3 linked regions of the Struthio camelus genome follow. The protein of the gene in region 3 purifies or fractionates together with the protein of the main gene of each other region. This does not show direct contact. Links are inferred from orthologs where the notes say so. Each region holds a gene or a part of one and is shown on either strand. Other genes may lie near its edges.

The links.
Region 1: the proteins of USP46 (region 3) and PHLPP2 purify together in Homo sapiens (affinity purification with mass spectrometry; 4 studies listed by BioGRID and IntAct, counting the BioPlex papers as one, with this or other methods). This does not show direct contact. The link is inferred for Struthio camelus from reciprocal best matches to the Homo sapiens genes USP46 and PHLPP2.
Region 2: the proteins of USP46 (region 3) and DMWD purify together in Homo sapiens (affinity purification with mass spectrometry; 5 studies listed by BioGRID and IntAct, counting the BioPlex papers as one, with this or other methods). This does not show direct contact. The link is inferred for Struthio camelus from reciprocal best matches to the Homo sapiens genes USP46 and DMWD.

What each region holds. Positions count from the first base shown.
Region 1 is NC_090951.1:392,195-399,709, forward strand, and holds the start of PHLPP2 (PH domain leucine-rich repeat-containing protein phosphatase 2), read right to left. Parts: upstream 3,061-7,515; coding exon 2,932-3,060; intron 2,617-2,931; coding exon 2,372-2,616; intron 955-2,371; exon of another isoform or gene 809-954; coding exon of another isoform or gene 792-808; intron 1-791. UniProt on the Homo sapiens protein: Protein phosphatase involved in regulation of Akt and PKC signaling.
Region 2 is NC_090957.1:1,761,322-1,768,227, reverse strand, and holds the start of DMWD (dystrophia myotonica WD repeat-containing protein), read right to left. Parts: upstream 3,052-6,906; 5' UTR 3,008-3,051; coding exon 2,873-3,007; intron 1,256-2,872; coding exon 1,073-1,255; intron 423-1,072; coding exon 1-422. Other genes in the region: SYMPK (symplekin), read right to left, coding at 4,680-4,850, 4,965-5,207, 6,035-6,124. UniProt on the Homo sapiens protein: Regulator of the deubiquitinating USP12/DMWD/WDR48 complex. Functions as a cofactor that promotes USP12 enzymatic activity.
Region 3 is NC_090945.1:57,620,123-57,628,173, forward strand, and holds the start of USP46 (ubiquitin carboxyl-terminal hydrolase 46), read left to right. Parts: upstream 1-5,014; 5' UTR 5,015-5,556; coding exon of another isoform or gene 5,557-5,592; intron 5,593-6,659; 5' UTR 6,660-6,700; coding exon 6,701-6,781; intron 6,782-8,051. UniProt on the Homo sapiens protein: Deubiquitinating enzyme that plays a role in behavior, possibly by regulating GABA action. May act by mediating the deubiquitination of GAD1/GAD67.

The sequences.
Region 1 (7,515 bases), on a different chromosome or scaffold from region 3:
AGACGCTAGAATACTTGGCACCATGGCAGTCACAGCAGCTGCTACTTGATACAAACAACCCATTATACCCGCATCCGTATCGCATACTGGCCGCTTCCACTGAGTGGGAGAGGCAGCTCTGTTAGGCAAACGTGCAAGTGGTAAGAAGACAGAAGCAAAGCCAAAACGAAGCAGCAACAATTTCACAATTCCCACTGCACGTGTAGCTCTTCTTCACTGGTAACAATCAGTTTTCAAACCTTCTTAAGTAGAAGTTTTGTAGCGATGGGTATCCAGACCAAAGAAGGTATCCATGCTATTTTTGTCTAATCCTCCCCTCTGCAGGAAGGGATATTTTTGAATAGGAAAGGATGCTAACAGAAAGATTCTAGCAAGGAAAACCTTGAAGATCCTTGACTTGCACTGTGAAGAATAAGACAAAATTCTGTCAGAAACCGACTCCACTGCATACATACTTAGAAGGGAACTGCAGAAAGATCACAAGGACACTACTGAATATTTAAAGCAAATACATGAAGAAGAAGTTTTCTGTTATTCTTCCATTTGCTGTCCAGGTAGCATTCAGTCAGGTACCACACCATATGATCCTTTGCCATACTCAGGTTTTGACAGAAAGTCACCTACTGAGATTAAAAGGGTGGAGAATTCAGAAGCTATTTGGGAGACTAACACACTCATGGAAAAATGCAATCAGATGCTTGATTGAGCAATCTGTATTCACAAACACGTTATTAAAGTAATCAGCAAACTTTGTGCAAGGAAGGAATTATCTCAGCAGAGCATGAGGATACCTTGAGCATTTTGTCATCTTCCTGTGGAAATGCAAGCAGGTACCATTTGGGCATGCTTCCGGTTATCAACAGAGATTGAAGCAACACTGGTAACTCCCATTTGTCTACTGAGAACACCTCAAACGGGAAGTAATTTAGGGATCCCTCTTGTGGCAAATATATTCTGAGAATTACAAAGGCAACAGACATGCAAGAATCAAAAACTCTCCATCAAACTCAAGATAAAGCTTGACAAATTGCTAGACGCACCATGAAGCAACAAGTTTACGAGTGGGAATTAACCAGGTTTACAACTTGGTGTTTGCTTCCAGAACATTGGTGGCAGGACCAATTTGTCAATCCAGTGCAAAGCTGGCCACAAATCAAAGACAGGCACTGCTATCTAGCGCAAAAAGAGAGATATACATTCAGCCAGTCTTCCTGCGATCGGCAGTAAGGGGTCAATGCTTTCTTCTAAATGCTCTCTCTATTCTCTGCAATGGTACAGAGCAAGCTAATTTCCTTATAAATACTTCAGTCAATGAATGGAGATTTTCAGCTGCCTCCATGGCTCCACTCAAGTGTCTGTCTATCCTCATCTAACGGCTTTCTAACTGACCTATCTCCGTTTCCTATAACCCAGACACGACAAGACAAACAGGTCTAAATACCATTTTCAACGGTCAGTTTTAATTGCATCCTATTCTCCACATCTCTTGCCTCTCGCACCCCCCCTATCTGATCAAACATACGTGATATGTTTTCTATCCTTGGACCCGTACAACATACGATTTTCATTTCAATTTCTGGAAGCCAGATACTGCTCCTGTTCAGCTCGTGATGTCAATCTCTACCGCCTAGTCTTTAGTAACAGGATCATAGTGCATTTTTTTTGTGAGGAAAGAGGAGCAGCAACTTTATAACTGAATTTTAAGTCCAGAAGAATCAATGCAAAGTCTAAATTCTAACATCCCTAATGGGTGCTTGTAAACCTAGAGGAGTCCATAATACACTCAGCATAAAGTTCGCACACATTAAACCCTATGCCAAGGTCTATTTTCAACCTGCAGACATAAAATGCATGACCTGAAGCATAAGCTTTCTTTATATAACCCTTATGCTACCTCTGTGTCTACTTTTAATTGTTATTTACCTTGCAATTCATTTTAAGAAGATATTTTTAGCCAAAAAATTACTAACATATAAACATTATTAGACATAACTGTCAAAGTACTATACCTGTTTTACTGACTCAGAATAATCGCTTACAGCCTCTTAACCGGCTTACGTTTTATTGATTTTAAAACAGCACTAAGACAAACGATAATAAAGAAGTACATGAACAGTAACCTCTACCTACAAAATACGGATCTATTTCTGGTTGGAGAGCCAGTCAGCCCCTCCCAGCTAAAATACCTATGGCTTGACTAAGATGTGCAAAAGGCTCACCACGACCTTGCTTTATGAACTGCAGTACTCTGGGCCACCTCTGTCTGTTCCATATCAACCCTGATGACATATGTAGGCATACAACAAGCAGAGAGCCCTGCATGTTACAGCACATATTCCTCAAAGCAGAGCTATGCTTCCTCAGCCCTCACCTGACCAGGTCTCCATGAAGCTGCAGAAAGAGGTTTTCCCTCTCTTCTCCATCGCATATCTCAGATACCGGGGTGTCCACCGTACAAAGGACCAAGCGCAAGTCAGAGGAAGCAGTAACTGCAGAATCTCCTCCATAAACGTATACGCAGCCTCGTCCAACGTCCTCTCTCAGCCAGTCCCTCTCACGGGAACCAAACCGACTCCTGTTCAAGCAGCTTCTGCTCCCATTGCGCTTCACGTTTCTCTGCCAAGGGAGCAAAACAAGACCGTTAGGTGCTACCTCGGCTGCTCTCCCCCTCCGGCAGGCGTGCCGCCCCGGACCCGCCGGGGGGCCCCGCCGCCCCCTCCGCCCGGCCGCGCTCGCAGCCAGGCGGGGCTGCAGGCCGCCGCCGCCCCCCCCGGCCCGGCCCGGCCCGGCAAGGTCGAGACGGGCAGCGCCGCCGCCCCCCCGGCCCGGCCCGGCCCGGCCCGGCCCCCACCCGACCCCCGGCCTCGCCCGGCTGCCGCCAAGGGCGGCGCGGCGGGGGCGGCCGCCGGAGGGTCCCGGCCCCGGCCCCACCTTCAGCACCCGGATGCCGCCGCGGGGCCCCGCCCGGCCCCCTCCTCGCGCGCCGCCAGGCGCCGCCGCCGCCGCCTCCTCGGGCTCCGGCGGCGCCCTGGGCCCCGGCCCCGGCCCGGCCTCCCCCATCACTGGCCGGACGGCGAGACCTCGGCCGGCGGCGGCGGCGGCGGACCGGCCCCGCGCAGGCCCCGCCCCGGAAGCACGCGGGCTTCCGTCGCCCCGTCCCGCCCCGCCGCGGGGGGGGGGGGGGGGCCGGACCGGGAGGGCGGCGGAACCAGACGAGGGGGGACCGCACCGCACCGCGAGGGGGAGGGGAGCGGGACCGGACCGGATCGAACCGGACCGGACCGGACCGGACCGGGGGTGGGGGAGCCGGAACCGGACCGGACCGGGGGTGGGGGGGGAGCGGGACCGGACCGGGCCGGACCGGGGGGGGGGGGAGCGGAACCGGACCGGGCCGGACCGGACCGGACCGGGGGGGGGAGGGGGGGCGGAACCGGACCGGGCCGGACCGGACCAGACCGGACCGGACCGGGGGAGGGGGGGGGAGCGGGACCGGACGGGGGGGGGGGGCGCTCGCAGCACCCCGCGCTGCACCAAGAGCGAAGGTTTCCGACAGCGTCGCCGGCCCCTTCTCGTTCTCCCCCCTCCTCTCCCGGCCTCAGCACTTCCTTCCGTCCCCCCCTTCCCGGGGCACTGACGTTCAAAAGGCCAAAAACCGATCAAGACCCCCAGAATAATTCAGAATAGGCTTCGAAGCTTAGCAAGTGTCCATTTTTACTCCATTTAACACAGCTAAAACACACAAATTAATGTATTAAGAATCATTCAACAACCAAACTGTGACCCTAGAATTTTTCACTAAGATTATAGATTCGGATTTTCCATTATTTTAATTGCCTGGAATTAAAGCAGGTATCTTCTGTATTTCAAAATTAGCATTAAACTGGAGACATTCCAGAAAAATTTGTAAAGTCAGCACATGAGGACTGTGACATTAGCCGACCAAAAATAACTTGCTCGGGATATTTTTGCAATTTCGCTAATGCAAGTTATACAGCTATTTCTTAAGAAGGGAAAGAGGTAGGAATTACTTACGAACCAGGTAAGGAAAGAAGATAAAAGCTTACCTGTATTTTGTAGAACCGTCTATCACAAGATTTTGGGTGCTCACCTCCCAAGTGTCTGTTACCAGTCACTCAAAGTTTCACATCTAAGTGGATGAAGCCTTACTCAGACAAGCAATAGCAAAACCCGTGTTCCTGCCTCCCATGGCTGAAGTTACATAGCAGAGCATCTGAAAATCTTCTTCCTGCAATTGCTGTCCATCACATCAGCACCAGGCAGTCTTAACTATTACATGCTAATTTTCACTGCTATGCTGTTTTAGCAGACTGAAAAGAATGCTTTGAGGCGGGTATTGTTCATTCCCGCACAAGGTCAAGCATTTAAAAAACAAGGTAACAAAAGCCTCCTGCCTTCTCCATAATCACCAGTGTTTCCAAACTTTAACAAAGACACAAGTCAAACACCCTCACGACAAGTCCGCTCTCAAGAGAGCATCTGGGCTCAATCTTAAGTCATCATCACAATTCTTTCCCGATACATTGACTTCCGGTCTAATTTCAGAGTTAACTCCAGATGTGCTTTCCAAATTATGTGTCCCTACTGGCATTATTACTGTGCCAAACGCTCTCTTAGTTCTAATACATTTCCTTTAAAAAGTTCCTGCCATCTTCCTGGGCTGTCAAAGAATCAGGATTGCAGGCGTATGTGTTGCGTACACTCTGAAAGTGCACAGCACTGCCCGTGCAGTATTTTCAGGGCTAAGGCTAGACTCACAGGGATAACTGGGTCAGCATTGTCCTGATGGAAGGAATGACAAGGAAATGCTTCTGAACAATCTGTCCCGCTCCAGAACTAGGACCTGTGACGAGTGACTTCTTGATGCCATGCAAACTGGCAGTTTTAGATACCATATCTAAATGCTCAGGTGAGTATCTGGAGGAATATGGAACTGACAGACAACTCATCCCATCACTGTAGTTAAGTGCAGTCCTAGCCACTTTTTATTAATTCATGTCATTAGCCAAGGCAGTCACAGAAAAGGCCATCTAGTTCTTAACACCTCCATACTACATAAATAAGCTGAAAAGCTTGGGGGGAAAAAAAATCAAATCCATTTTTCACGGAGCTTTCCCTACAGAAAGGTAGAATTATAATGGATTTTAGCTACAGCATTATAGCAATAGTATAGCAATAGTTCTGTAACTATTTTGCCTCAAGAGAATTTCCATAAAGGATGGACACATGGCAATACAGAGGCTATCACATTTTGCAGAAGGAAGTGCAATTGTGTGCCGGAGCGCACACGAGAAGATTGTCTAATGCAATGTTACTGCAACTAGAAAACACGGAAGAACTCAGAGCAGGCACTTATATTGCTTTAATGGATAATGGGATTACAGCAGTCTTCATCCTAGAGGCATACAGAATATGAAAAGAGGCTTTTTAATTAGTGAGGGAATCAACTCCAAGGACAGGCTGCAGATACAGGAAAGTTTTTCTTATGTTCAATTCTCATCACATCTTTCTAGCACCTGGACGTGTATTGCTGCCTCTAGCTGACAAGCTCTCTTTTAGAAGGATATTTCACATCACTTGTTTAATAATTTTTCATAATTGTCAGCACTCATTTTGCTCTTTAAGCTTCCCAGAAAACTTTGAAAAATCTGCACTACCTTCTTGCTTATTATTTCACATTGTCCGACCTTGTTATGGCCAACTGTAAGAACAAAAAAGGCCTATCCCCCTGTACTTGCAAAAAGCAACAAGGCACAGCTTTTAAATCATTGAATATTGACTCATTTTATTGTTAGTCACTTCGTAATTTGTTTCAACCAAAAGACAATACACACAGCAGAAGTCTAATGCATCCCATGTAAATGTTTACATCCGTTATGCTCCTCACTCACCTAAGACTTAGCAATTATTTAAATTTTTCACATCTCAAAAATAAGTCTGCAGAAGTTAGAACACCACCAGGCTCCCTGCTCCAATGGCATGTTCATTTTTTTTTAATTTTTTTATTTTTTAAATATACTGTGAAGGAGGTGGGATGGGGATTCATGTAAAATGCAAATTACAACGTCAGGAAAGAAAAAGGACTATACAGGAATAGAGTGAAAGTTCACAGAGGGAAGCAGTCCCATAGCTTCTTCCCTCACAGCCCCCAAGTAGAAAATGAACACATAGAAAGCGCACCAGCAGGTCTAAAAAAAGCCATCTTTGCTGCTCCATCTTGCAGCCAGTACCAGCCCTGGGGAAGGGACTGAAGCACCTGTGCCAGCTGTTTCAGCATCTTCTGAGTTAAAGATCCATGGTCCTGTATAGGTGGCAGCCCCCTCACTGCTATTGCTTCAAAAAGTTGTTCAAGGCCATATTTTGTCCCTTCCAAAGCTGGACAAAGTCAAATCTTAAGACCTTCCCATGTCTCCTCCCCCTTCAGGTCCAATATGGCCACTAATCTTTTTGCCATCTCTTGGCTCAAAAGACAATACATTCACTTGAAAAAAAACATTCAACCTCTCCCAGCTAAAAAGTCTCCAATGCAGATATAAATAAGATTAGCCATGAAGTCTGTATCTTGCTCCCTGTATGTCCCCCTTACCTTAAAGCAAGGAGCAGGTTGAGCAGACTGATAAAAACTCTTGCATTCTGCTGGTGGAATAAAGACTGAACGCACTCTGTCCTCAGAGCGCTTCACGAGGTGGACAAGCGAGTACTCTCCAGCGACAAAACAAAGAAGCAGCACAGAGGCTAAGAGATGTACCAAGGGTCAAGGAGCAAGCAAAGGGATCTGGCATTGAAGATAGGGGAAAGTGTGAAACCCAGCCTTCATTTTGGGATAACGTTAGCACCCTATCCCTTAGCAAGAGAAAGGGAAAGAGTTCCAAGGACAACAGGAATGTTCAGCCGCCACAAGGGAGTACTTCAAAGCCAAGGGACGGCTTCAAGCAGAATACCCTTCAGGTACATGCACCATCTCCTTTAGCCTGACTCAGAAATATGACAGGCAGAATAACCTCACAACACACACTTCTGCACAAAGGTGGTTGGAGAAGCCAAGAACAGAAGAGGAACTTATCCGCAAAAAGCTTACCAGACCAACTACAAAATTCACCTGCTCTAGCAGACAGAAAACAAGTGCAACAAGAGGGACAAGATACTCTGCTCCCAACTATGCTGCAACAAGTTGGCCAGGAGAGAGACCATTTACTTCTTTTTCCCCCTCATCTAATCCTACTGTAGCAGTGATGCTCTTGACAAAAAGGAACAGAGACTGAGTACAGTCTTCAGTACAAGTGACCACATGCAAATCTCTGAGGAGAATGAGGGAGCTCATGGGGCTTTCAGGAACTAAGGCACAGACTTTCCATTAGCTCAGTATCATATCTGGGACACCCTCAGAGCTCATTAGTCTAGATTCCACATGCTCAGTTTGTGATGCTAAGGAGTTTGAGCTAGTGGGGTGATGAATAAACACAACTGCAGTTGAAATAACAAGAGTGGATGCTCAGC
Region 2 (6,906 bases), on a different chromosome or scaffold from region 3:
AGGTCGTCCTCGCCGCCCGTCACCACGTAGCGCCCGTCGGGGCTCCAGCAGACGCACAGCAGCCCCCCGAAATAGCTCTTCATCATGCCCTGCAGCAGCATGGAGTCGAAGTGGAAGACGCGGAGGCAGCCGTCCTGGCTGACGCAGGCCAGGTAGCGGCCGTCGGGCGAGAAGGCGAACTCGTTGAGGGCGCCCTCGCCCACCGCCCACTTCACCAGCGGGTTGCGGGCGCTCTTGCTCTTGCAGGCGAAGACGCTGAAGCCCTCGCCCTGCTTGAGCAGGCTGTACTGGGGGGGCGCCGAGCCGCAGGGGTGCTCCACGTTGTACAGGTAGAGGTGGCCGCTGGCGTGCGAGGCCAGGAAGAGGCTCTCCGTCTCCGGGATCCACTTGAGGAAGGTGACTTTCGTCTTGTCGATGAGTCGCTGGGGGCAGAGCGGGGGGCACAGCACGGGGAGGGAATCGCGGTCGGCGGCTTCTCGCGAGGTGGGTTTTTCCCCCCCCCCCCCCCCCCCCACCTTCCCTCCCTCTGGATCATCCCGGCTGCGTCGCGTCAGCCCCGAGGCGCGGAGGGCACGCCGGGGAAGCCCTCTGCCGCCCTGCCGAGCCGTGAACGCTCTTCAAGGGGGTCTCGGAGCTGCGCCGGGCTCCGGAGGGACGCCGGAGCCTCGCCAAACGCACGCCCCGAGCCTCCTCGAGCAGCCCGAAACGAAGCCGCACGCGACCGCGGACAGAGTTTGTCTGTCCGTCCCCCTCGGCACCTTTCCTGGAAAAACAGCCGTAACCGCAGGAAATAATTTGGATGTTTGACGGCTCCCTGGCCCCGCTATCGCTCTTCGCGGGAAGCGAATCTGCTCCCGAGGGAGAACATAGCTTTGTCCAACGCAAAAAAAGGTCGTAGCGACACCAGCTAGCGACTGAGGCAGCGACGTCCGTGTCCCGCAGCTCCGTAACGCCGTTCCGGGCCGGGAAAGGAGGCGGAAAGGACGGGACCGCGTAACTTAGGTCCCCTCCAAGGCACGCGGCAGCCTGGCCGTTAACGCGAGGTGGGGGAAAAAAGGGGGGGGGGTCTCACCTCCTCGTTAAAGAGCTTGCTCGTGTCCTTCTTGACGAGGTCGAGGTACTGCACCTGCCCGGCCGAGAAGCCCACCAGGAGGGAGATGCTGTCGGAGGCGGCGGTGAATTGGTTGAAGTCGTGGCAGGTGGGCTGGGTGCCTTTGTAAATGCGCTTGTCGATGGGCTTGTTGAGGTCGAGGGACTGCGGGCGCGATGGCACTGTCACCGCAGCCCCGCTCGCCCTGCCGGGGCCGCCCCCTACCCCCCACCCCGGGGCGGGCGCCCGAAAGCTTTGACAGAAAGAGCAGCCCTCCGAGAGCGTCTCCTCGATTCGGGAGAGAGCAGGAACGTGCCAGCACCCCAAAAAAATCCTCCCCCCCCCGCCATAGCAAATGGGAGAACCCATTCTGGGCTCCCAAATCAGTCTCCCCTCCGCTCGCATCCGCCCCGAGGTTCCTGCTTTCCCGTTACCATCTCTTGCTCCTGGGGTGTCCCCCTTCCCAGCCGAATCCCAGCCCCAAAATCACCCCCGTCCCCCTGTCACCGGCTCGCTCCCCCCTCCTGTCACCCCCCCCTCCAAGCTTTACCGGTGCCCTGTTCCCTGTCGCAGTCCCGGGGCTCCCGCTATCCCCCGTTCGCTCCGCTCCTCGTCCGTCCGCTACTTTATTTCCCCGAATCCCGTCCTCCTCGTCACCCGCTATCGCTGCCTGTCACTGGCCCTGGCAGCCCTGTTACCAGCCGGCTACTGCAACCGCCGAGCCCGGTGCCCCCGTTACCGGCCCCGGTGCCATTACTCACCGGCTACTACACCAGCCGGACCCGGTAGCCCCATTACCGGCCCCTTCCCAGGCCTGGTAGCCCCGTTACTACCCCCCCCCCATCTCCTGTCCCCTCCCGGTACTGCCGTTACCCACCAGCTCCCAGCCCAGCTGGGCACAGTATTGCCATTAACTGCCGGCTCCTGCCGCCGCCACCCCCGTTACCCCCCTCCCCCTAAAACCCCAGTGCCCCCGTTACCCCCCTCACAGAACCCCGGGGCACCCGTTACTGAGCCCCCCAAACCCCAGGGCCCCCGTTACCCCCCCCAGGGCCCCCGTTACCCCCCTCACAAAACCCCAGGGCCCCCGTTACCGAGCCCCCCAAACCCCAGGGCCCCCGTTACCCCCCTCACAAAACCCCGGGGCCCCCGTTACCGAGCCCCCCAAACCCCAGGGCCCCCGTTACCCCCCCCCCCAGTGCCCCCGTTACTCCCCTCACAAAACCCCGGGGCCCCCGTCACACCCCCCCAAAACACCAGGGCCCCCGTTACCGAGCCCCCCAAACCCCGGGGCCCCCGTCACCCCCCCAGTGCCCCCGTTACCGAGCCCCCCAAATCCAGGGGCCCCCGTTACCCCACCCAGTGCCCCCGTCACCCCCCCCAAAACCCAGGGGCCCCCGTTACCCCCCCCAGTGCCCCCGTTACCCCCCTCACAAAACCCCAGGGCCCCCGTTACCAGGCCCCCCAAACCCAGGGGCCCCCGTTACCCCCCCCAAAACCCCGGGGCCCCCGTTACCGAGCCCCCCAAACCCAGGGGCCCCCGTTACCCCCCCCAGGGCCCCCGTTACCGAGCCCCCCAAACCCAGGGGCCCCCGTTACCCCCCCCCAAAACCCCGGGGCCCCTGTTACCGAGCCCCCCAAACCCAGGGGCCCCCGTTACCCCCCCCAGGGCCCCCGTTACCCCCCCCAAAACCCCGGGGCCCCCGTTACCGAGCCCCCCAAACCCAAGGGCCCCCGTTACCCCCCCCGCAGTGCCCCCGTCGCCCGCCCGCCCGCCGTTACCCGCCGGCTCCCGCGCCCGCCGGGCCCGGTGCCCCCGTAGAAGTAGAGCTCGCGGCCCAGGTTGAAGCAGACGCGGCTCCGCTCGGCGGCCTCGCTCGGCTCCTCGGCGGCGGCGGGCAGGGCGAGCCGCACCATGGAGAGCCGCACGGGGGGCAGCGCGGCGGCGGGGCCCGGCGCGGCGGCGGCGGCGGCGGCAGGGCCGGGGGGCGGCACGGCGGCGGCGGGCGGGGAAGGCCCCGGGGCGGCGGCGGCGGCGGCAGGGCCGGCGCGGGCCCGCGGTTCGGGTCCCGGCGGTGCCAGGAGCCGGTAGGAGCCCTCGCGGGTGCGGAACTGGCTCTTGAGCTCGTGCGGCTGCGCCGGGAGCGCCGCGGGCCCGTCCGCCGCCGCCCCGGGGCCTCCCGCCGCCGCCGCCATCTTCCCGCCGGAAGGCGTCGCCCGCCCGGCCGGAAGCGAGCCCCGCCCTTAGCAACCGCCTCCCTAGCAACGCGCTGAGTCACGCGAGCCCCGCCCCCCCGGCGGGAGGCGGGGACAGGAGAGGACACGCCCCCTGCGGGCGGGGCGCGACCTGGCTGGGGGGCGGGGCCAAAGGGGGGGTGGGGCCGGGGAGGGCAGAGGTGACGTGGGGGGACTCGGGGAGGGCTGGGGGGTAATGGGGGGGGGGGCCATTGGGTGCTATGGGGGGGCTGGGGAGTAATGGGGGGGGCCTTCGGGTGCTATGGGGGGGGACAGAGGTGCCATGGAGGGACCCGGGGGGGGGCAGAGGTGCCATGGGGGGGCTGGGGGGTAATGAGGGGGGCCATTGGGTGCTATGGGGGGGGCAGAGGTGCCATGGGGGGGGCCATTGGGTGCTATAGGGGGGCTGGGGGGTAATGGGGGGGGCCTTCGGGTGCTATGGGGGGGGGACAGAGGTGCCATGGAGGGACCCGGGGGGGGGCAGAGGTGCCATGGGGGGGCTGGGGGGTAATGAGGGGGGCCATTGGGTGCTATGGGGGGGGCAGAGGTGCCATGGGGGGGGCCATTGGGTGCTATAGGGGGGCTGGGGGGTAATGGGGGCTATTGGGTGCTATGGGGGCCAGAGGTGACATGGGGGGACTGGGGGAGGGGCTGGGGGGTAATGGGGGCCATTGGGTGCTATGGGGGGGCAGAGGTGCCATGGAGGGGTGGAGGGTAACAGAGGGGCCATTGGGTGCTATGGGGGGGGCAAAGACGCCTTGGTGGGACCCGGGGGGGCTGGGGGATAATGGAGGGGCTATCGGGTGCTATGGGGGGCTGGGGGTAATGGGGGGGCCAGAGGTGCCATGGGGGGACTCAGGGGTCCTGTGGGTGCCATGGGGGGGCCCAGAGTGCCATAGAGGGAACTGGGGGGAGGGGGCTGTTGGTGCCATGGGGCAGCATGGGGGGCCCAGGGGGCCTATGGGTGGTATGAGGAGGCCAGAGGTGCCATGGGGGGCCTGGGGGGGTCAGGAGAGGGTCTTGTGGGTGCTGCAGGGGGAACCTCTAAGGTAGTGGGGGGGGGCAGGGGGCAGTGGGGGTCCCTGAGGGTGCTATGGGGGAAGCAGAGGTGCCAAGGGGGGCCCAGGGGGTACCATGGGGGTCCCCGGGGGGAAGTGGGGGGGGGCACTCAGGGTGCCACAGGGAGAGTGTCCCATGGGCGGGGGGCACCCCAGATCCCTCACCTCAGGGTGCCCCCCACCCCAAAACCAGACGAGGCGCCGAGGGGCTGCTCTCACACCTTTTATTTAGAAAAGTCCCCCCCACGGGGTGGCGGGGTGGGGGCACCCTCACCCCGGCACCCACCCCCACCGGCTCAGCCCTCCGCCGGCCCCTCGGGTGCCTCAGGGCCCCCCTGGGGTGCCTCGGGGGCTGGGAGGTCGGGGGGCTGGGTGCCGGGGGGGGGCGGCTCCGCGGAGGGGCTGCCGGCCGCCCCGTCCTCTGGGGGGGTCCCCGCTTGCGGCACCTCCGCGCCCTTGGGGGGCTCCTGGAGAAGACGAGGGGGGATTAGAGACACCCAAAGGTGTGTGGGGGGGGAGGGGGTAACAACAGCACCCTACTGGGTGCTACTAGGTTTGGGGGGGAGGGGGGGGGTCCGTACCTTGGCGGGTGCTGGGGAGGGGTCGAGGCCGGCGTCGAGCAGGGAGCCGTCGCCCCCCGAGCTCTCCTCATCCTCCTGCACGCTGATGAAGATGGGGGGGGGCTCGAGGTCGGCCCCCTCGTCGCGGAAGTCGGGGGGCTCCTCGGCGCTGGGGGGGGGTGGGCGCCCCGGCGCCGATCCCCCCCCGGGGGCCGCCCCCTTCGCTGCCGCCTCCTCCTCGCCCGGGCGCTTGGCACCCTTGTCCTGTGGGGGGGGGGGCAGGGGGAAGGGAAATGGGGTGCTTGAGCCAGCGGCACCCCAAAGCCCCAGGGCAGGGTATGGGGGTGCTCAGTACCCCCCCCAGTCTCCCTGACCTTGGCTCTGGCACCCTGGGGTGGATATGGAGGTCCCCAAGACCCCCTCAGGGCACCCCATCTTGGCTCTGACACCCCAAGATCGATATGGGGGGGCTCAGGGCCCCCCCCCACCTCCGCTCTGGGTTGGGCAGAGGGGTGCATGCTGACCCCAACTTCAGGTCTGACACCCTGGGAGGGGTATTGGGAGACCCACGGCCCCCCCACTCAGCTCCAACACCCCTGAGATGAGTATTGGGGTGCCCAGGGCCCCCCTAGACTCCCCCACCTCAGATCAGGCCCCCCCTAGATGGGTATTGGGGTGCTCAGAGCCCCCCCACCCAGCTCCAACACCCTTGAGATGGGTATTGGGGTGCTCAGGGCCCCCCTAGACTCCCCCACCTCAGATCAGGCCCCCCCTAGATGGGTATTGGGGTGCTCAGGACCCCCCCACCCAGCTCCAACACCCCTGAGATGGGTATTGGGGTGCTCAGGGCCCCCCTAGACTCCCCCATCTCAGATCAGGCCCCCCCTAGACCGGTATTAGGGTGCTCAGGACCCCCTCAGAGCCCCCTGGTCCCCCCCGCCTTGCCCCTACGTACTGGGATGCTCAAGGACACCCTAACCCCCCCCACCTCAGCCTCAGCACTACCATCACCCCAACCCCCCATTGGGGGGCACGGGGTGCACAGTGCCCCCCCCCCAGCACCCCAGGGTGCAGCACCCCACCCCGCTCACCTCCTCGGGAGGCTGCGGGTCCTTGGCCTCGGGCTCCTGCTTGGTGCTGGCCTCCAGGATGGCCATGGTGGAGAGCGGCACGTGGGCTTGCTGGGGGGCAGAGGGGGACAGGGTGAGCGGGGCACCCCAAGGCGCTCCGGGAGCCGCTCACGCCAACCCCGCGGGGCCCAGGGGCGCGCCGGGAGCCGCTCACGCCAACCCCAGAGGCCCCCGGGGCGCGCCGGGAGCCGCTCACGCCAACCCCGCGGGGCCCCGGGGCGCGCCGGGAGCCGCTCACGCCAACCCCAGAGATCCCCGGGGCGCGCCGGGAGCTGCTCACGCCAACCCCAGAGATCCCCGGGGCGCGCCGGGAGCCGCTCACGCCAACCCCGCGGGGCCCCGGGGCGCGCCGGGAGCCGCTCACGCCAACCCCAGAGGGCCCCGGGGCGCGCCGGGAGCCGCTCACGCCAACCCCAGAGATCCCCGGGGCGCGCCGGGAGCCGCTCACGCCAACCCCGCGGGGCCCCGGGGCGCGCCGGGAGCCGCTCACGCCAACCCCAGAGATCCCCGGGGCGCGCCGGGAGCCGCTCACGCCAACCCCAGAGATCCCCGGGGCGCGCCGGGAGCCGCTCACGCCAACCCCGCGGGGCCCCGGGGCGCGCCGGGAGCCGCTCACGCCAACCCCGCGGGGCCCAGGGGCGCGCCGGGAGCCGCTCACGCCAACCCCAGAGATCCCCGGGGCGCGCCGGGAGCCGCTCACGCCAACCCCAGAGATCCCCGGGGCGCGCCGGGAGCCGCTCACGCCAACCCCGCGGGGCCCAGGGGCGCGCCGGGAGCCGCTCACGCCAACCCCGCGGCTCCCAAGGCGCGCCGGGAGCCGCTCACGCCAACCC
Region 3 (8,051 bases):
ATTTTTCCCAAAGTACATTTCGTATAGGCAAGAGATATGCCAGTAAAATTCACAAGTGAACTTCCTTGCTAAACAAGGTACCAGATAATAAAGAGGCTGCAAGCTTCTACCTTATGGAAATGAGGGAGAATTTTCAGCTGAGCAGTGTGTCAGTAAAGGTCAGTATTAGGTAAATCAATGAAGCTGTAGCCCAATATTAAGCTGTTGTTGTCAAAGCTCCTAATTTATATCGGGAATGCAATTTTATGAAACATGATCAAGTAGGAGGAAAAAAGCAGGAGTAAGACGTTGTGAGATAATCACACCTCTAGGTCATTATTGAACATCAAATTGCCTGTAAAGGCCTAAAGAGCCTGTTCATAGAATGAACTGTTTAATGGTTACAAACACAAAACTATTAATCTCTTTTATCTATTCAGCCAGCTTTTGGAGTATTAGACATCAATATATTTACATCTACTTTGTTCTGCTGTCTTTTGGTGTTCAAATCTGACATTTAACTATAAAAAAAGTCGGATGCTATAACTGTATTTTGTTTTCTTTCTTTAAAATAGCAATTTCTGAGAAGAAGAAAAATAAAAGACAGTATTCTTTCTCCACCTACTAGAATAATGTCTGTATCAACAAAGCTAGGGTAGATACAGGCATGAATTTAATGCAAAGTTTCATCCTCTGTGCTTCATATTCAGTAAGCGGGAGTATGACTTGCTAAGATTGTAAAGGTGAAGAAAAAGCATAAACATGTTTTAAATCAAGAAAAATAACTTTTTAGATCGTTTGAAAAAGAGGGGTAGATGCTGGTGCAAAGCTGATACCATCCTAAAGAAGATTAGTGATTCTACATTTCTGGGAGGACTAGGGAGTCCCCAGTAAACCCCCCACGTTTGTTTGTGGGTTTTTTTTTTTTTTTGTGGATCACCATCAATTTGTCATGGACTACAATCCACTCTTACCATTAGATTTTTAAATGTAAGTACAGTGGGTTCCATGGACCTACTACAACCCATGTATTATGGCCTCTCTGCATGGACTACAAATTGGGAACTGGCATTGTAGTAAAGCTCCCAATCTGCAGTGCTGCAATGGAGGCCAAGCTTCATGGAAAATATCCACTGGTAAAATCAGAAAGGGATTAGCACAGGATTTACTACTGTCTTCTCTGCTTCCTGGCTTTTTCCATAGGAAAGCACAATTGTTTAACTTTTAAATAGTCTCTACTTATCAGAGTTGGTATTACTTTGGGAGAACTAAGAGCAGGGTCCTGAGAGCTGATTTCAGGACTATTTCTCTGCTGAAATTAATGGTGGACTATACTGAAAATGGAAATAGTGTTATGCAGATAGAGTAAGGCCAAATAGATTTGGCCCAGTATTTATATAGCATATAATTTGATTGTATTAGTTTGCAGGAATACCGGATACCTTTCTGTTTCAAAAATAAAAATTCTACACTTTAAGAAGAGTATGTGTTGCTAAAGTTTCCTCTCCTCAACTGAAATAAAATTTAGAAATTGTAGCCTCAGTGTTCTATGCTATGTATCTGTTCTTAGTCTTTCTGCTTGCATCATCTGCGTATTTTTCATCCTAACAAAGACATACTGATAATTTTTATTGAACATAAATAATGTGATATTCAAAATATTAAAAGTTTCTAAAATTGTAAGCATACTTTCAGTACTGATAATGTAATTCAGGTATTTGAGTTCTTTTTCCATTCTTACTATGTATCCTCCAAATCCCCCACCCCCTCCAAAAAGCTTCTGAGTATTGTTTTAATTGCTCTTACCATTAAAGCCACTTCAGCTTTTTTTAAACCTGAAAATATATCCTGAATTTGAGTCTGTTTCAAGCACTGCTTAGCATAATTTACTGATGGTCACCTGTTTCTGGACCATAGTTTATTACAATAAAAATGTAAATGAATCCTCTGTGGAATTCTCTAAGATTTCTGAAGAGGAAGCATAGTACCCTCTTTGTATTACAGAGTAAGCATGTATTCTAATCCCAGTTTTGCTACTAACTTTCCTGTGTAACTTTGGACAAGTCACTGCACTTCTGCTGCTTATTTTCTTGTTTTGTAAAATAGGCTAATATTAACTTGCCACCCAGGAATTTGACAAGGCTGAGTGAATGATTGCAAAGTACTCTCAGAACTTCAGAGGGAATACATTATTAAAGTCCAAAGCACGGTTAGCCAAAGAGGATATTTACCATAGGTGCTTGTTTTATGTAGTGAAATAAAAGTGTTAAAGGATATAACCAGATGACCAAAACTGATTTACTTCTAAAAGTAAATGCGGGAGACATTTTTTGACCTTTCAACAGAAATTATATAAGCATTCTTAGGTTATAAATAGCTCTTTGTTTTCCTCCTCTTTGTTTAACATTGAAAAGAAACACAGGGTTAGCTCTTTGTTATGAAGAGATAGGGTAATACTTTGGAGTGGAAACAATTATTCATTGTTCTTTATTTGTACAGTTCCTATAATGTTAGGAACTAGCATTAGTTGCTTTTCTTAGCACTTTATCTTCAAAAAGCTACAGAAATAAAGTTTCTAGTTCTGAAAATGACAACACCAGAAAAAAACAAAACACACACCAACCCATTTCAAGTATGAAAGTTACTTTTCTATTTCCTAGTTTGATCTGTGACTGAAGAGCAGAAAAAGTCAGTGCTAAACTTATTGTTAAACTGGCATATAAACACTTGTGTATTATTTCCTATTTTTATCATAAATCCTCCAAAAGAAGATATGAAATATGTATACCCTTAAATGAAAGACTCTATATAAGCTTTAGGAAAATGACATTGAAATCTTCTGAGGATGATATGTGCATGCGTGTATATCTATATGCATCTATATATGTGTGTGTACATATATATGTATATGCTTTATATTTCGAAATATGCCTATTTCCAACAATGGCCATTTCCTTGGACAATCAATAACTTGCTCAACTAATAGCAATTTGTTTAATTTAACAGAAATGTTTAACAAACATCTGAAGTTATCCTGAAGTCAGGTAATTGGGATCCGCAAGAAAGCAAAAGCATGAAAATGCTGCTTACCTTTTTTAAACTTTTTTATGCTCCTTCTTGTTGTGTTTTCTTTGTGTTTTATGCTCTGGGAATAATATCCTTCACATTAGAATATACTTGAAGTAAATGGCTTTATTAGTTACCGCATTTTGTTTCTTTTCAGTTTTTAATCACCCTTCAAAACCATTCATTTGCTTTGTAATTTTTTTCACTGAGACAAGTGTGATTCCTTGCAGTAAATTGGAATAAATGGGGTGCAGCAAAGAATACAGAATTAGGCTACCTGAATAAAAGGGATTTTTTTAAAAAAATAGCCATGGTGCAGCATTGTCTGTCTCCATAGGCTGTTCTGAAATGCACTGGAGACTGATTCAGGCCTTGATTGCTTCAGAATTGAGCCTGGGGGTGGCCAGTCCTGAAATGACATCTCTGTTTTAATTCCCATTTCTCTTGGTTGTTTCAAAAAGACTTGTGATACTACTCATAAACAGCCCTTGGAGTTTAAGCAGGTTAAACACTTGGGGTCAAATTCATAAGCAGCATAAGACCATGAGCATAATAGAGTAACACAAAGGATGGGTTTTTTTTCTCACTGTTACTTTATTTGATAATTCTTTTATGTAGCAAATTTGTAGATTTAGGGAGCAAATGCTTCGCAGTGAAATAGTTTAATAGACCTTATGACTTCAGTCCATTGCCTACAACAAATCTTCAAGAGAGGTGTTAGAAGTACAGGTTCCTCCATATTGTCTTCCAGTTACTGAGGAAAGAAAGTTGTGTCTCCATAACAACTCAGTTCTGGGTTTCTTTGCTGAAACTGTCAACAGGATGCCAACTAATGCCAAACTGATATCATTTTTGTAATGTGGGCACTTGTCCATGATGAACTGGACTGAGGCCAGCTATCTAACAGTATTCTCGGGCTAAGAATTCATCTTTCAGATGTTGCTGGCTGGTGATAGATTTTCATTAACAGTCAGAGGCCTTCTCTTGCAATCCAGGGTCTCAAAAACTTTAGTGACTTTGGAATGTTTTCTGTAATTAACATGTGGGGCCGGGCTCTATAGACCAAAATGTGTATATTCTAGCATTGTGAGGTGAAAAGTGTAGCCAAGCATGAGTATGCCATATTTCCAGGTGTTGTTAGGAGGAGGCATGCCCATCTCCTAGATCCCTAGATGTTGGCAGTTCTTCTCTCTCTTCATCTGGATGATTTCCTCAGCATAGGAGATGAAAATACAGTGTTCTTAAGTTTCTGCTGATAACAACAATCTCCGCTCAAGCAGAGAGGAATTCCAAGATGAGACATTGTCCTAGCTGAACTCTGTTCTTGTTTCTCTCAGAGATTTGTTGTTAAGACAAGAGTTAGCTATTTAACATCCTTGTTTACCACATGTGCAGATTATTGCATGTGCAGTTTTAATATACTCATACCTTGCAGAATGGCATGGACCTCAATTTACTTGAGTGTTTTGAAGATGAACTGAGATTAATGCATTAAGGGTGTTGTATATGTTCCAGGCATTGTGAGCTTGTGAGTGAGCACTTGGGCTCTAGTATGTATCATGATGTGGGGGGTCATGTTCCCTAAACAACATTTGTGAAAGTAAATGTCTGCATAAATCGCAAAGCAAAGCACCAGCTGTAGGCAGTAAGTTAGATTCCTGCCTTCAGTTCTGGGATTTAGAAGTGCCCAGGCTCCTGCGTACCTAAAGTTAGGTGGAGGGAGCACATCCCAAGGTACAGTGCTGCTACCACCCTTAAACATCCATGTGTTCCTGCCTGGACCCTGCCTTCTGCTCCTTCTTGCAAATATGATTTCATATATTTAAAGAGATCTGGGTTTTGCAGTTCCCCGGCCCTTCTAGGCCTGGCGGTTAGCGTTGCCCCGGTGCCCCCGCGGCAGCACGCCGGCAGCAGGGCCCGGCCCCTCGACGGGCCGTGCGGGGCGGCAGGAGCGGCCCCCGCGCCCCTCTCCTCCCCGCAGCGCATTGGCTGCGGCGGCGGCCGGGCCCGCGGGGCGCCCCGGCCGGTCACCGCCGGCCGTCCCTTCCCGTCCCTTCGCTGGCGCTGGCAGAGCGGATCGCTGGGCGCTGCGCTGCAATGGAGCGACGAGCAGCAACGGCAGCCGCCAGGCGAGGAGGAGGAGGAGGAGGAAGGGAGAGATTAGCGCGGTGCCGGCTGGCGCAGAGGCGCGGCTGAGCGCTCCAGCGGGAGCCCGCGGCCCTGCGGACCGTGCAGAGGGAGAGGCGGAAGGAGCAGAGATGCGGCTGCTCTTGCCGCGCTGCTGAAGCTGCCGGTCGCTCGGCCGGAGGGGAGGCAGGCAGGTCCTTCCTCCAGGCTGCTCTGCGGGCGCCTAGGGTGCCTGTGCAGTCCCCTCCTCTCGCTTTTATCCCAGCCCCGGAGCAGAAGCCTCCTCCGCCGCCCCCTCTCCCTTCCTGCGCTCTTCCCACCATGAGCGGGGCTGGTTTCACCTTATAAAGATGGCGGTGTGGGATCGCTGCAACCTTTAGACTAATGACTGTCAGAAACATCGCCTCCATCTGTAATATGGTGAGTGCTTGGGGGCAGGCGTGGCGGCCCGGGGGCGGGGGGCGGCACGGCAGCCCCTCCTGGGTAGGCCCTGCTGGGGCCGGCGGAGGGGCGGCCGGGGGGCTCCCTCCAGGGGCGCCGGGCAAAGGAAGCGACCGCATCCCGGCCCCGGTGGCAGGGGAGGCGGGCGGGCTGCGCCGGGACGAGCCCGGGGTGCAGCTCGCCGCCGGGGAGCGGCGGTGTCCCCAGGAGTTTGCCGGAGCAGCGCCAGGAGCGGGGCGGGGAGGGACGGGGATGCCGGGCCGGTGCGCGGAGCCTCGGCGCGCAGGCGGTCCGGAGCGGGCTGGCCCCGGCCTGGCCCCGGCCTGGCCCCGGCTCACACGCCTTGCAGCCGGAGCCGCAGCCTGCCCTTCCTCCTCCTGCCCGAAAAATGTTGCGAGAGAACCGTAAAGTTCGGCTCTGAATCCACATCCTCATTAACTCAGTGGCCCCAGTTAACCCTCCCAGGCAGGCACCCTGTGGTCTCATGTGGCCAGGAGCTCCCTGGGTTACACAGACAATGAGGACGCTGGTTTAGATGCGTGACTGTAGGCTTTCGGATCCAGCTGCTAAGTACCTGTTCTGGGAAATCTTGGCTTTAGAGTTAACTTCAGGGTTTCTTTTGCACTGCATGCCACTCAAAGGACCTGCTGTTTGTAAAGTACCCTGGAAGCACTGAGCTTTCTTTAATCATAAACTAGACAATTAGGAAGGAATAATGAAATGTTAATATTTTGTTTAGGTTGAGACTTTGCCACTTTCATCCCCAGGAGAAGTTGAAAGGACAGTTTCTTCTGTGTGCTTGAGTCTAATTTTAATCCCGACTCTACAAACCTGGAGCATCTGACTGGTTTTGGATTTTTAAAACTTTTTGGTGAGGGAAGGGAGAACTTAAAGTATGCCTGTCGAAGGGGTTTATTAATACAGTGAGACAGTAGCTAATTTGTCCTAGGCGTGGGTGAGTGCTAAGTACCCCAGTGCAAACAGAGGAGGAGCCCGTTTCCACGCATTTTGTTGTTTTAGTCTGTATTTTTCCCCCTTATTTCCAGGTTCTTCAAGAGCAGCTACATGCAGTTGCCAGCTTCCCTCCATGTGGTGCCCCAGCATGCCCTGTGCTGGCGATGCCACACATACCATTCATCTGCCCTGGAGAATGGAGCCTACCTCTAGGGTAAGGCAACGCACAGCCCCAGAGGCCTGGCTCCTGCGGGGTCAGCAGCAGTGGCCTGGGGGTGGGGGGCACGAACTGTCAGCCTCCTCCCCTTCCATGTCTGCAGGCTCCCACTTCAGTGGGATTGCTTTTTCGTTTCCACCCAGATGCCTAGAGCATCCTGCACATAGTTCTGACATATACCTCAGTCCTTCCTTCAAAACGACTGCTCTGACGTGCAGAGAGGGAGGGCTGGATTTGCGCTTACAGTAAGAAAAATAAATCCAGACTCCTTGGGGTAAAATAACCTGGGTTCTCAGCTTTCTTCACTAACAGTAAGCGGTTCTCTAAACTTTTCATTGTTCTTGATAGGTTTCAGTCCTGTGAGCCAATGGGCCAAGGATACTGCAAAAAAGGCTTTAGGTAACAGTACTGTACAGAGGAGAAAACCTGGACTCACTTACCTTCCCTTTTAGGCAGGCTCCAGTTTTTATTGCTGATGAATGGTAGGTGTAATGCTCTGCAAAACGCTTCCTAGAGCACTGCATGAAGGGGAGCTGGAGACTCTTTGATGGTTGTAAGACGTTAACATTGGCATAAGGTGTTACAACCTCCAAGATTTCTCTCTTGCATGCTTCAGAGAGATGCACTTTATGTACAGCATATTTGTCCCAAGGCCTGAACAGACCCAGAGCAAAACCAATGACATGATTTTGATGGTGTGCCACTCAGACACTAATAGTGTATCTTGCAAAAGAAAAGTAGCATCTGAGACACTGAGTAGCATGGTGACACTAAAGGGAAGAATTAAGAATCTCAGGCAGAAAAACTCAAGGCAATTCTGGCTTATGATATCAGTACTGGTGACAGTGGGTGACACTGGTTTAACAATAATGAGGTTCTAAAGCTACGTATTCCTTGGGCTTTGCATAGTTTGCTTTTAGAGATTTTGTGTTATGCTGGTCACATTTAGTCTTTTCCACATAACAATAGAGACGGAGACAGGAAGTACTTTTAGGAAGAGCAAAGCTGAGATTTTCAGAAAGTTATAGGTAGGTATTGGTAGCGCTGCATCATGGCTCCTCTATAAATGAGTCCATTTAGATGAGGTGGGGGGCTCCTGCGGATTTGGACTCGAAGGACTCTAGAAGGAGTTATGACAACATTGCATAAGAATGGGACTTTGCAAGGTTAGAGATATATAAGCAAACAATATAAATAAATAAAAACTGTATATTTGCAGTGCTAGTTTGATTTAGGGCACCTGCAGAAATCTACCAGACAAAGGTAT